Linked DNA regions of Notamacropus eugenii. The protein of the gene in region 1 purifies or fractionates together with the protein of each later gene. This does not show direct contact. Links are inferred from orthologs where the notes say so. Each region holds a gene or a part of one and is shown on either strand. Other genes may lie near its edges.

Region 1 (7,105 bases):
CTGAGATACAGAGAAAAAAAATCAGTTCCCTGAGGCAGATTTCACTCCAAGACATAAGCAGCCCACATGCTCATATTCCTCAAGGAGTTTAGAGGTTATTTAGAAGCTGCCTTCAAACTAGCCAGTGACCCTGGGAACCAAGCTTGGCTCTACCCCAAGGGAGTCATGCTGGTAGAACAAGGCCAAGGCTCAGGGTTGTTCTATAAGCCACAAGTGAATCGAGGAGAGCATCTGGTGTCCCCACTGAAAGCCAACCTCAATGGGAACATTGTTTATCCCAACAAATCTGTCAGTGCCATCCTGTTCCTCAGCGCCCAAGGGAGGGCAGCATCTTGGACTACTGGCACTCTCATAGGATCCTCCCTCTGGGGTCAGGGTAGTGTGTGTACACGGGTATGTAAGGGCATGACAGCTACCCTTTCCTCTGCCAACCAGCTGTGGCCCACAAGGCTCAGAACCCACCACGCCGGGCCTCTCTGTTCATCAGCTTCTGCAAGGCTTAGCTCAGAATAGCAGCTGCAGCTGCGAAGCAATCTGGACACTTTCGGGACCCAGAAAACCCAGCAGGCCTGAGTGACCAGGCCCTCTTCCTTTGCCATTCTGAGACCCAACTGCACCCCAGACATCAGCCCTTGAGGGGAGGGGCACTGAAGAGAGCCTTCAGTTAAGGCACAAAAAGGAAAGCACCTTCCTAAGCCAGCTGAGACCCCAGAGGAGAGGCTGGCCAAGGTCCTCTGGGTATCAGCCATTTTATCTGAGGAGATCCAAGGCCCTTTGATATCAGAATTGGGCGCAGATGGGGAGGGAAGGAGATAGGCCACAGTATTATTCTCTCCTGGAATAAGCAGTGGGGGGGGGCAACATCACCACTCAGCCCTAGACAGGAAATAAAAACAGCTCAGCAGAAAGTGCACAAAGGTGCCTTTGTTATGGAGACTTGGTTAATCAAGAAATGTTAATCAGGCTCGGGCAATTCAACTCACCTTTGTAATCAGAAAGGCTGATGTCTTTGAACTGCCGATCTGGCATAACAGCTGTAGCTCTGAAATTGGGGGCTGGGAACCCAATCTTGGCATTGCCCGCAGACATGTTGACAGTATGACGGTAACTGGGGGCCAAGAGGAATGAGGCTGGAAAACCAGAGAGGTGACTTCAGGAGAGGTACCAAGTTTCCCACTCCTAAGACAACCCGAGGCAGCTCACTTTTAGGGAGCACTGAGAGACTCGCCGGGCACCAAGGGGACATACTAGCCTAGAACCACACCTGACCATCTTACTGCCCTTGGAGCCCTCTGCCCTCCTGGTCACATATAACAAGGAGATCTAGTCACTTAAAATGAAGGATTTTCTGAAAGCAAAGTCCTGGCTGCCATCCTAAACTAGAAAGCAACCCCGGCAGTCCCCTCCAACTTCCCAGGGCTGAGCAGTTCTCCACAGCCCGATTAGGCAACAGGGTTTTGTGCCGGCTAGACCGGACTCCTCGTGGGGAGGGGCCTCTACCCTACGGCCCTCTCCCAAACCAGCCAGTCCCCAGGAAAAAAGGAAGAAAGATGGGTGGTTTTGCGCTCCGGCCTAGGCTGGAAATTCTGGGCAGTGCTAAGCAGAGATTAGGAGTTAAGGGGAACTGATTTCCATTCGGAGAGACTGATCACTGCAGAGCCAGGCAGAAGCTGCCGGTTCCAAGCCCAGGTGCACCGGAAGCCCCCCCGGCCCTGCCCTGCCCTCTCGGGGTGGGCTCACCCCAGCGCGCATCCACAAGGGGGGAGGAAGAGACGGGGGCTTTCTGCGGCACCCACTATGTGCCCAGCACTCGGCTAAACGCTTCACAACTCCGACCTCATCTGCTCCTCACACCCACACCCGGGGAGATCCGCGCTAACCGGGGGTTATCCCCATCTTACAGTTGGGGAAACTGAGGCAGACGGAGGCTAAGTGACTTATCCGTGGTCACGGCTGGGTCGGCGTTCCAATCCCCGACCCACCAGCGAGCTGCCTGAAGGCGGAGAGCGGAAGGGGCGCCCTCTCGGAACGAGGTTCACCCCCTTCGAACCCACTTTACAGAAAAGCCCCGAGGGACCCTGCTCCAATGCCCTTCCCCCACGGCCACCTCCCGGAAAGGACCCTGCCTAGGCAGGGGTGCAGCCCACCGCACCCCCTCCCGATCATCGGACCGTGGAGGCCGACAGTGCTGCCCACGTGGCCAGAGAGGAGGATGGAGGCCCTCGGGGGCACCAGGGCCCCGGTGCCCCCGGCTCCCGATGCTGGGACCCCGGGACGATGGGCTGCTGCACTCCCCGGGGGGGCCCCCTCCTCGGTCACACCGGGGAGAACCACGAGGAGAGGGCGGGAAAGTAGAGTCGCCGCCGCCGCCCGCTCCTCCCCAGGCGCCTCGCTTCCCCCCCGGAGCCCCAGTTTCCTCCACGGTCCAAACAGAGAAGGCCGTGGGGGTCCCTGTAAGAGGCTGTTTCGGGGCAGGTGAGCCCGTGCCTCAGTTTCCCCATTTGTCCCACGCCCGGGCCCGGCTTCTATTCCACCAATCTGATGTGGCTTCGAGAACTTCAAGTCCCGCCCCCCACCCGAAGGTTCCCCAACACGCCCCCACCAGCCAATCAGCGTCCTTGGGGGGGTCGTCCGCCTTTCCCAGGACGTCCCGAGCTTCCCCGCCCGTCCCCAGCCGCCCGAGGAGGGGCAGCACGGCGGCAGAGAGGGGGTGGCGTGGGGGACGTGCCCGCTCCCTGGCCTCACCAGCTAGGCTCCGCAGACAAGGTCGAAGAAAGGCCGAACCCCTGAGCAGGAGCTGGAGAGCGCGAGGATGCTGCGCCCAGCGCCGCCTTTATAAGCCCCTGATCTCGCGAGAGGCTGGGCGGCAGAGGGCGGGCCCGGCCGCCTGAAGCCCCGCCTCCTCCCTGCTTCCCTCCCTCTCCTCATCCACGCCTTCAGCATGACTCGGCACTTTTCCGGGGTTCGGGGGCAGGACGCCCCTCCTTCCCCAACCCCAGATCACGCTCACTGGGCCCTCTCCCCCACCACCTGACGTCTGGGCCTCTCAGACCAGGAAATCCCTCCCCCGATACAGATCGCCTCTCTCTCTCCCTCCCAGCGGCCCGGCTGCCTCGGAACACCCCTGAACCCCTGGCGAGGTGTCGGTGCAGCTTGGGAACTCCCTGCGGCCATGAGACACATGCCCTGCTGAGCTTTTTAAAAGATAATTAGTAACAATTAATAAGTAACAATGTAACCGCATAGCAGCAGCCGTACAGCCCCCGCACTCGCTGCATCCCGGGCCCCGTGCTCTGCCCGACAACTACAAAGAGAAGCAGAAGCCAGAGGTCTCCCGTGGAGTGCCCCAAGGCTCTGTGCAGCCCGACGTTTCTCCCCTTGACCAGAGTGGAGGCCCAGGTGGATGAGAGCTCATCGCATAGGGTGCTGATGCACAGCTGGGAGGGCTGACTGACGCACCCTGAGCTAGGACTGGAAAATACAAGCTCGTAGCTGTGGAGCTGAATGGAAGGTGAAATTCACTAAGGATAAACAGCAAGTGTAACATTTGGGCTCAAAACTAGACTTCCATGCGGGAACCAGCTTGGCCAGCCTGAGTCAGCACGTTGGGCAGCATTAAGAGAGGCCCAGCTTTCAGGATCAGGGAGCTCAGTGAGAGTCCTGCTGGGTGTGGGGCATGGGGAGAGACTGGAGAGAATGAATTTGTCCTAAGTTGGTTAAGCTCCCACTATGGGTCTGGCATGCCACCTGGTTACAAAGCAAAAAAGGAAACTGGGCCCTGCCCTCAGGGACCTTCCATTCTGCTGCTGGTGGAGAAGGGAATCTCAGAGGAGACAGGGGGGAGGGGGAGCACCAGAGCTGTTCTCCATGTTGGGAAGGGCTGTTATATGGAACAAAGATCAGCCTTGCTGGTCCGAACAGTTGAGGGGGAGGGGGAATCGTCAAAGAGGCCAAATCAGTTCAGGCTCAGTGTTAGGAAATCCTTGCTCTCCTTAGGGGCTGGCCAGGAATGGAAGGGACTCTTTGGGAAAGGTAGTGAGCTCCCCATCTCTGGTGGTCTCCAGTCAGAGGCAGGGTGACTCCCTGTGCAGGATATTGTAGAAGGATTTCCTGTTCAGGTGTGGGTTGCGCTCCTTTCTGTAGAGTGTTATATGATAAGCAGGATGAATGGGGGAATGAGTACCAGGGGAGGGCTCAGTGGGCTTTGTCTTTAGGTGCCTTGGGCTTTGAGGAAATGTAGGGGGGGAGGGGCTGAAGCAAGCCTTGGGCGATGAGTCTGGGGCTGGGAGTGGCAGGAGAAGGAAGCTGGCTTTCCTGGTGGTGGGAGGCTCGAATAGGATGTGTGCCACCTGGAGCCTGGCTCAGTCCCCACCCCCACATCCCTGGATGTGGCCCTTCCTCCCCTACTTGGCCTTTGTTCCGCCCGGGGCTGTTCATTCTCTGTGCTGAGCGAAAATAGTTAGGGAGCTCATTAAATACTTGCTGATTGATTGGGTGACAGAGAGGAAACACTGAAGGTGGGAAATATCCAAGGTTATTATCAAGAACCTGGGAGGTTCCCAGAGGCAGGGAGAACAGTGAGAAAGCTATTTCAATGGTCTTGGCTGGAGAAGAAGGCTCTAGGCTTGTGGCTGGAAGGCCTCAGAAGTCCACTACTCCAGCCTTCTTCCTTTACGCCAGAGTTTTCCACAGGCTGGATTATGAGAAATAAGACTTAAACCCAAGTCAGCCTGATGCTGTCCTGAGGGTGCCATTCCTCCTCTCCCCCCTCCTTCACAGTGGCGTCTCCATGACACCAAAGAGAATGATAGCTAGGGAGAAAGAGCAGGTAAGGCCTCCAACCTGAGCTCAGGGTCGTCATTAGGAGTCATTGCCGACATTGCTGGGGGCCCTTTATGATTACAAAAGTTTCCTCACATTTATGATCTCCTTTCACCTTCCCTCCTCCTTAACCTGTTGGGAGGTAGCTAGGGCCTCAGCGCCATTTAATAGCCACAGAGGTCAAGGCTGAAGGTCCCAGAGCCAGAATTCCCACCATTGTCATTCTGGAGGTCTGGCCCTTGGGGAACCATTTCTGGCTAGAAAAAAAGCAGAGAGAAAGGAATAAAAAGGGAGCTGATTTGCCCACCCAGCATGGTGTCCCAGGGAATAGTCTGGAATGTGTTTCAGAGATTTTAAAAGAAGGTAGGGGAGGGGATTTCTAGGTGTGTTGGAAATTTCTCCTCTAAGCAAGTGAGTGAGTCTCTGTGCCCTGAGATCTTTAAGTGGGAGACAGACTGTGTGACATGTAGAGGTCTAGAAGTAGGGGCTGCTGGTAGATGGCTTCTGTGGATGCCCAAACCCCCTCCTATATTCTCTGTCTATCTGACAAATGCCCATTTCTGCCTCTGTTGATGTTTACCCTGATGCTTTCCATCAGTTCAGTATCTCACCCTGATTCTGTGTTCATCCTCATTGAAGGGGTTTAACATGACTGAAAAATTCATGCTAAAAAGTGTGGGAGCAAGCACATAGCCTTGTTTCACTTTCTTGGTGACTGGAAAAGCACAAGAGCATCATCCATTATCCAGAGCCCAAGCCAGCATGCCATTGTGAAATTGATGTACAATACTGATGAACTTCTCTGGGCAACCAAATTTTAACATAATTTTCCATAAGCCCTCACGACTTACAACATCAAAGGCCTTGGTCAGATCTACAAACATTGTGTTCAGACCTCTGTTCTGCTCCTGGCATTTCTCCTGGAGTTATCCAGCAGGAAACATCATATCTACTGTTCCTCAGCCCTTTCTGAAGCCACACTGGGTCTCAGGCAGATGACTGTCTTCCAGGTGAAGCATCAGCCTATTAAGGAGGACTCTGAAAAGAATCTGGCAATGGGTAAGACAGAGTTCCCCCTGTGATTGTCACAGGACAATCTATTTCTTTTACCTTTATAGAGGTGGACAAAAAGACTATCTTACAGAGAATTAATTGACAGAGGGTAAGTGCTCACATGGTGGTCAGAAGAAGCAATAGAAGGACACTTTCAAGGTCTCTCTTAAGGACTTTAGAATTGATTGTGTGATGTAGGGGACACTGGCACAGGACCACCCAGCATGGCATGCCCTCGTCAGAGAAGTCACTGTGCTCTATGAGCGAAGTAGAATTGAAGTAGCTCAAAAGAAATTTGAGATGCACAGATGTAGAGAATTCACCCCATATGTTCACATGGACTGTTTGTGCCCTAGCTGTGGTAGAGCATTCCGAGCTCATATTGATCTGATCGGCCACAGTAGGACACACTATAACTTAACTCTAATGTAATGATGTCATTTAGGCCCTCTTTGGGAATGGACAACAGCTACCACTTTTCTGCTTTCCTACAGGACCAAAAGGTGTTGATTTATGGGGCTGTATGAACCAGGAGGGGCAGTCTCTAGTGGTGAGCCACCTGGCTTTTTCTTCAGCCTTGTCTCCTACAAGATGGTCATCAGTGACTTAGATGAAGACAGAAGGCATGCCTGCCAAGTATTCAGAACATTCAAAGCTGGGAAGGCTTTGTTAGCTCACATAATCAGGATTCAGAGTCATCCTGACAGTTCAGAACCAAGGAGATGACTCAACAGCTTCATGGTGGGAGAGGAAGTAGAATTGTAGGGTCATGGGTGGGGGAAGTGGGATGTCCAGGGGTGAGAGCTCAAGCTTACAATCAGGGAATTAACCAAGAGTCAAATTTCAGCTGAGGAATCTGGAGGAAGTCCAGTGCAAGCAGGAAGAAGGAAATTGTGAGCCAAACAATAGGGCATACTTGGGTGGATCGATGATGGATGGATGGATGGATGAATGGATTGGTGGATCGATGATGGATGGATGGATAGATGGATGGATTGGTGGATCGATGATGGATTGATGGATGGATCAATGAATGATGGATGACTGGCTGCAGGGGGCATGTTTTAGGGGAGAATTCTGCATAGAAATGCCTCTGAAATGCTCTGATTCTCCTAAGTGGGTGAAGACCAAAGAGGCAAGGATGTCTTTGAAACCAGACATCTTCCCACCACGGATTATCTTTTCCAACTTCCACCCAGAAGTGCCTGGCTATGCTACCTGAAAGCAGTTA
Region 2 (7,020 bases), on another chromosome or scaffold:
AATGCTATCTACCTCCAGAGAGAACTGATGGGGTCTGAATGCAGATCAAAGCGTACTATTTTTCACATACAGTATTTTTTTGGTCATTTTTTTTCCCTTTGGGTCTATGACAACATGATTGATTTGGTAATATGTTTTGCATGATTGACCATGTATAACCTATATCAAATTGCTTTTCTTGGGGGGGAAGGGAAGTGAGGGAGAAAATTTGGAACTCAGTTGTTTTTTAAAAATCAATATTAAAAATTGTCTTTATATATAATTGAGGGGAAAATAATTTACTTTTTAAAAAAAATACTGGAGTAGTTTGCTATTTCCTTCTCCAGCTCATTTTACAGATGCTGTAACTGAGGCAATCAAGATTAAATGATTTGCTAAGGGTCACATAGCTAGCAAGTGTCTGAGACCAAATCTGAGGAATTTCCTGACTCCAGGTCTAGCACTGTATCTACTGCATCATATAGCTGCCCCAACGGGTATACAGTAGGTGCTTAATGAATGTCCCTTCCAAAATACTACTAGGGCTCATTAGTGAAAGCCCTTATTATGCATAAGATCTGACTAAGCATTAGCACAGGAAAAAAAAGTGTGTGTGTGTGTGTGTGTGTGTGTGTGTGTGTGTGTGTGTGTCTATACTTGGCAAGTGCTAAAGACAATGAACTGGACCTAGAATTACATAAGAAGAAAACAGGCTGGATCGTGCCTGAACAATTGCAGAGGTCTCTCAAAGGTCATAACTGGCTTGTTAAAAAAACATCATTCTCTTGGTATATGTGGCTATGACTAAGTGAAAAACATAATCTCAGAATAAAAATTACAGGTGATCTAAGAGCAGTAGAGATGTGAGTTAAGTGCAATTAGGCCATAGAACATTATAACTGATGTCCTGCCATCAAATGGCATACAACAGAACATCATGACCAGGTATGTGTTGGCTGTTTGTCTGTGCTAGAACCAGCTCATACAGGCTCAAGAGAGCTAATTTTTAAAAAAAAATTTCAGCGTATTTTCACCTTAATCAATTAAGTGCTGCAAGGGAGGGACTGGTTTGAAGGAGATGTTAATAATGCACATTACAGTGAAAAATTGTCTTTACATGTTAATGTAATTTTTTTTAAATAATGCGGAATACACTTAAAAGTGTTGTGGTTAAACATCTATGGATACAACATTAGATATGAGCCAAAAATGCAGGTTGCACTTTAGCAATAGACAGATATAAATTTCCGGAGTACTGCACAAAATATTGTAAAAGAGGAACGACTCCAGTATATCAGAAGGATCTCTTAAAGGGGGATGACAGTCATTCAGGATGAGAACGGCAGGTTTAGGTTACCTTTTCCAAAAGTGAAGGAGGTATTCATACAAAAGTTGACTTTTGTCTCTCCACCGTCCAGAGAATATGATAAACACTTGGCATTTTTTTAAACAAAGCTCTCTAATTTTGTTGTATCCCATATTTCTAGCCTTTTATCACTGTATTCTCCTTCAATCCTTGTATTTAAGAGAAACTCTTACTAACTATTCTCTATCTGCTCCTATTTCCTCCTGCACCCTCCAGGCCTGGAATGCACTCCCTCCACTGTCTGTCTGCTTGTCTGAATCTTCTCGGTTCCTCTAAGGCCCATCTCTGAAGCCACCTCTTCCACAAACCTCCTCTGACCCCCCTTCCTTCCCTAGCTGGAAGTGATCTCTCCTATTCAAATCTTACACGGCATTTTCTCTGGTGTCCTATTTCACTCCTAAGCTAGTATCACATTCTTATCATATTTTATTACCCCTATTGAACTGCAAGCTTTTGGAGCAAAAAGCTTTATGTTGTTTCCCACTTGGTTCATAAGAAACCCTTGAATACTTGTTGAATCGAACTGTCTTCTCTCCTGCCTTTCCTCAGTGACTACCCCTGTATTGAAGCAAGAGGCTCCATTTTGGGGATATCTGACCCAGCGTCATTGATGATCTCAAAGTTGTCTGCATATTCTCCCAAAACGTCCAAAAATCTTTTTCATTAACACGTCTATGGAACTGAATTAAATTAACAGAAAGGAAACAAATCTCACACTGTGATGGGTGTCAGGAAACGAATACTGCCAACAGAGGGCAAGGGAATCGCTGCCCTGAATATCCTGAAACCCTACAGGGCAAGGCAAGGAAGCGCCCAGCCGTCAGGTGCCCCTGCCAGCCGAGTCATGGCCTCCCCCTTCTGCGCACCGGCCTCAGGGCGCAGCCAGCCGGACGTCCCGACGGCCCCGGGCACGGCTGGCTCCTGCCCTGGGGTCACCCCCATCAGGGGAACCAGGGCAGTTCTTCATCGCAGACCCCGGGCCAGGGACAACCACAGCAGCGCAAAGCGGCAGGAACCCGGGGGGAGGGGAGGGGGTGGCCAAAATGCCCCCAAGGCAGGAACGCCGCCCTCGGGGGCGCCAAGGCCCGCCCAGACGTTCCGTCACGGCAGCAGGGCCGCAGCCCGGGCCGCAGGGAAATGACCACCCCCGGGCGGGCTCCGAGGACTGGAGGCCAGGGGGAGGGCAAGGACCAAAGCCAAGCAACAAACACCCACGAAGTGCCAATCTCCGGGCTAAGCCCCGGGCCTGCAGCTCCCCAGGGCGCCGGACTAGGGCACACATGGCCCTAGGCGGGGCTGGGGATGGGGATCGGGGCTCTCCTCCGCTCCCGCCTTCCCAGCTCGGGGGCACCGCGACTTCTTACCTTGCTCTCGATCTGCTTCACCATCTTCTCCGACGGCTCGGGCGGCTCGGGCTGCTCGGGAGGCGCAGGGAGCTCGGGAAGAGCGGGCTGCTCTGGTGGTGCGGACGGCTCGGGAGGAGGGGATGGCTCGGGAGGCGCTGGCGGCTCTGGAGGCGCAGAGGGCTCGGGGAGAGTGGGCTTCTCGGGCGGCTCGGGAGGCTCGGGTGGCTCGGGAGGCACTGGCGGCTCGGGCGGAGCGGGCTTCTCGGGAGGCGCTGGCGGAGCCGGCGGCTGAGCAGGCTCCGGAGGCGCGGGCGGCTCGGGCGGCTCGGGTGGAGCGGGCGGCTCGGGCGGCGCGGGCGGCTCGGGCGGCGCGGGCGGCTCGGGTGGAGCGGGCGGCTCGGGTGGAGCAGGTTTCTCGACAGGCTCCGGAGGCGAGGGTGGCTTAGGGGGAGCGGGCTGCGCAGGAGGCGAGGGAGGAGGAAGATGCTTGGGCGGCGCCGGGGGCGGAGGCCGAGGCGGAGGCGGAGACCGCGCCGACGCGCTGGTCAGGGAGGCCCGGGCGGGAGACGGGGACTTGGCTTTGGAGTTGCCTGCTCTGAAGAGTCCGAGAAACTTGGGTGCGGGTGACTTGAACTTGCTAGGTCCGGGTGACTTGGAAGACGGAGGCTTCTTGGGCGATGCTTCTTTCTGCGGGAAATGCAAGAAAGTAGCGGAGGCTCCGCCTCAAGGGCCCTTTATACCGTGGGCGGAGAAGAGCCCAGGCGACGGCCGCCCGGGGAGGGAGAGGAGGGCTGGAGGGGAGGGAGGAAGGAGGCCTTGCTCGCCCGGGCGCTCCCCTTCCTGGAACGCCCTCCCCCTTCCCTCCTTCGGCGCCCTGGGCTCGCGCCACGTCGCTCGCGTCACGTCTCCGGGGCCGGCCCCGCAGAGCGCCGGCCCCGCAGAGCACCGCCCCTATCGCTTCTCTTTCCCCGCCCCCCGCCCTGGCAACGGCGCGGGCCCGGGCCCAGGCCGCCCTGGCGCTTCACCCTCGGCCTGGTGCCGTCCCTTTTCGGATTTGATTTCCTAATCGTCCCATTGCCCTCGAGGATCACTTGGAGAGGAGTAGGAAAAGTTGACTAGAGTTTGCAAAACGAACCCATCGAGCCGTCCGAAATTTAATTACACTATGAGTAAAAGCCATTTCGTGGAAAACACCCTCTGCTCCAGCCGGCCCACGTGTCCCCTGGGCCAGCCCTGGAGGGCAGAGGGAGGGAGAAAGGGACGAGGCGGAGGGCGGACTGTGAGCGAGGTCCTAGGGCTTGGGGCCGGAAGAGCCCCCTGCTCTGGGCCAGCCCCCGACCACAAATGAGCGCACATGGGCATGGGCAGCCCCGGGACCGGGCTCCGGGGGAGGCGACGGAGAGCGGCGGTCGGAGGACAGGTTAGCGCTCTAGGTCGCGGGCGGGGCTGCCTACGAGGGCGTGGAAACGGAGGCGGGCCTCCGGGCCACCTGGGGAAAACGCCCGGGAGCGCGGAGGCAGCCGAGCCTCGGGGATGGGCTGCTTGGCCCGGCCTGAAGCCGGCCTCCGCCCCAGCGGGGGTGGGCCGGGCGGACGCAGTCCCTCGGACTTCTTGTCCTCGTGGTCTCCAGTCCCCAGGGCCCGGGAAGCGGGCACAAAATGCTGTGTAACGATGATGAGGAAGTCTCCGCGGCGGGCCCCCGCCCACCGCAGGCCGCGCCCTCCCGGAACTTGCCTTCTTTTTCTCCTTTTCCTTCCCTCCTTTTCTCCTTCTCATTTTCCTTGAAGTCGCTGCTGGTGACGCAGCAGATGGGCCCTGGTGCTGGTTTGGGGAGCCGCGAGATCAGGGAGGGCTGAGGGCCCGCCCCGGGGGCCTAGGTGGGAACTCCGAGGCGGCCATGCTCCGAACCGAGATCCCCGCGAGCTCCTCTTCTCCGAACTTTCCGGAGGTGCCAGTTCTATTGTTTGTTCCCGGGGTGGTTTGTGTGGCTGGCTCTGGTTGGCTGCCCCCCTCAAACCACCGGCAACCTAAAATGGTAAAGCCACCGGGTTAGACGGTAAAACGGTCAGTTCAGCGGCCAGATCCTCCCAGGGCTCGGGGGGAGGCCGATGGCCCCGGGCCGCCCCCGGTAACGATGCGGGAGACCAGGGTGCGGGCAGGGCCCGCGGTGCTGGGACAGGTCGTGTTTATCCACAAGTAAGAGAAGGGAAGAGTCATGCAGCAGCCTTGTAAGAAGACTAGGTAGTCTGGAGCAAAGGAGAGCTTTAGAACAGGTTAGAGCAGTGTCACAGCTCTGCTCCTGGGGCTCCTGTGAGCCCTTATTGGCCCCAGCAGGGCATTCAGGGCCCCCCGGCCCAGTCAGCCCCAGCTCCGGCCCAGTCAGCCCTAGCTCCGGCCCAGTCAGCCCCAGCTCCAGCCCCCCCCCGGCCCAGTCAGCCCCAGCTCCAGCCCCGCCGGCCCAGTCAGCCCCAGCTCCGGCCCAGTCAGCCCCAGCTCCAGCCGCCCCGGCCCAGTCAGCCCCAGCTCCAGCCCCCCCGGCCCAGTCAGCCCCAGCTCCAGCCCAGTCAGCCCCAGCTGTGGCCCAGTCAGCCCCAGCTCCAGCCCCCCCGGCCCAGTCAGCCCCAGCTCCAGCCCCCCCGGCCCAGTCAGCCCCAGCTCCAGCCCTCTAGCCCCCCCGGCCCAGTCAGCCCCAGCTCCAGCCCCCCCGGCCCAGTCAGCCCCAGCTCCGGCCCAGTCAGCCCCAGCTCCAGCCCCCCCGGCCCAGTCAGCCCCAGCTCCGGCCCAGTCAGCCCCAGCTCCAGCCCCCCCGGCCCAGTCAGCCCCAGCTCCAGCTCCCACTGCCCCTGCCCCGCACTCCCTCAGCCCAAGAACACCGGGCTGTCTTGGCTTCTTCCACGCGAGACTTATTCCCCGGAATTGCTCTCCCCTGGACCTTGTCAGGCATCCTCTCCTAGGGAGCCTTTTTCCTTTCTCTGTTCTCCAAGCTAGAGGCGACCTTTCCCCAACCCCGGTGCCCATATCGCTTTGTTTGTAGCTCTTCCCTAGGACTTACAAAATACTGGTTCACGTTTGTGTGTGTGCCTATGTTATTCAGGATAAGGACCAGAGGTTTTCTGTTGGTTTTCCACCGCAGAGAGGTCAAACATATGGCCCACAGCTGGGGCCTGGACCAGACTAAAATGCAGTTGGGAAATATTTAACAAAATATAACGTAAAACGTAGATAATGTGACATTTTAAAACGAAGTCAACATGTGGCCCACATGGATCCTTACGTATGATTTAATGGACTCCACTTCAACTTGATTTTTATACCACTGTTACAGAGTACTTTGCAATGAATAGAAGTCTTGTTTAAAGGGAAAAGTGGTGGATTTAAAGTTAAAAGGCCTGGACTTGAGTTCAAGTTCTGCCAACAGCTCTTCAGTGGCTGTGTCTCCTTGATGAAATGATGCCTTCTCTTTGGGCCACATTTTCTTCATTTGTAAAATGAAGTCGGACTAGATGGTCTCTAAGTTTTCTTCGGGCTATAGGATTCTGTGATTCTGAGACTCAGCAGGGTAAGCCCTCAATAAGTATTTGTTAGTAACAGGAGTTACTCATTTATCGTGAGTTTTAAGATTTTAAGTGCATTTTCCCTGTGTGGTCCTCACAACAAGGAAGATGCTGTGATGATGCTCATTGTACAGATGAGACTGCTGACTCCTGGAAAGGTTAAATAACTTTGTTAGAGTCACACAGGTAGTAAATAAATATTTGGGATGAGGATGCAAGCCCAGGTCTTCCTGACTCCAAGTCTAGAGGTTTAACCACTACTGCCAGAGTAACCATGAACCACTAAGAAGTGAAAGGGGACCATCACCGGTAGTCCTGACTGGTAGCATTAGATTGGAGAGAGTGATGCTAATGACTTGGCACAGCTCTGCCTCACTTAAATTCAGTTGGTGAGGAAGTTAAGATGTCACCCCTCTGATGTCATTGTTCCTTTTCTAGAAGGATGAACAACAAGAAATCAAAGAGCCAGATGTGCAGTAATAAAATAGAAAGGCTAATTTTGATCAAATACATTGTATTTCCCAACACCTTCATTGTTATCTTTCAGACAACTGAAGACCATAGAAGTAAAGTTTCTGATAGAATCCTTGAGAAGACTAAGTAGTTAGGTGGACGGAGAAATGGTTGAATGATGGATTGATGGATCGTTGAGTACTTGTTAATTATTCAGTGTCAGCCTTAAAGGAAGTCCTAAGGGAAGTGCTTCAGGGATCTGTATTAGGCCCTGTTTTGTTCAGCATTTTTACCAATTACTTGGATGAAGATGAAGAAGTCA

Evidence for each region.
Region 2: the proteins of PRDX1 (region 1) and TXN purify together in Homo sapiens (affinity purification with western blotting; 3 studies listed by BioGRID, with this or other methods). This does not show direct contact. The link is inferred for Notamacropus eugenii from reciprocal best matches to the Homo sapiens genes PRDX1 and TXN.

What each region holds. Positions count from the first base shown.
Region 1 is NC_092873.1:506,673,408-506,680,512, forward strand, and holds the start of PRDX1 (peroxiredoxin-1), read right to left. Parts: upstream 3,012-7,105; 5' UTR 2,746-3,011; intron 1,131-2,745; 5' UTR 1,090-1,130; coding exon 984-1,089; intron 1-983. UniProt on the Homo sapiens protein: Thiol-specific peroxidase that catalyzes the reduction of hydrogen peroxide and organic hydroperoxides to water and alcohols, respectively.
Region 2 is NC_092872.1:98,090,219-98,097,238, reverse strand, and holds the start of TXN (thioredoxin), read right to left. Parts: upstream 3,006-7,020; 5' UTR 2,734-3,005; coding exon 2,710-2,733; intron 1-2,709. Other genes in the region: uncharacterized protein, read left to right, coding at 4,826-4,887, 5,092-5,725. UniProt on the Homo sapiens protein: Participates in various redox reactions through the reversible oxidation of its active center dithiol to a disulfide and catalyzes dithiol-disulfide exchange reactions.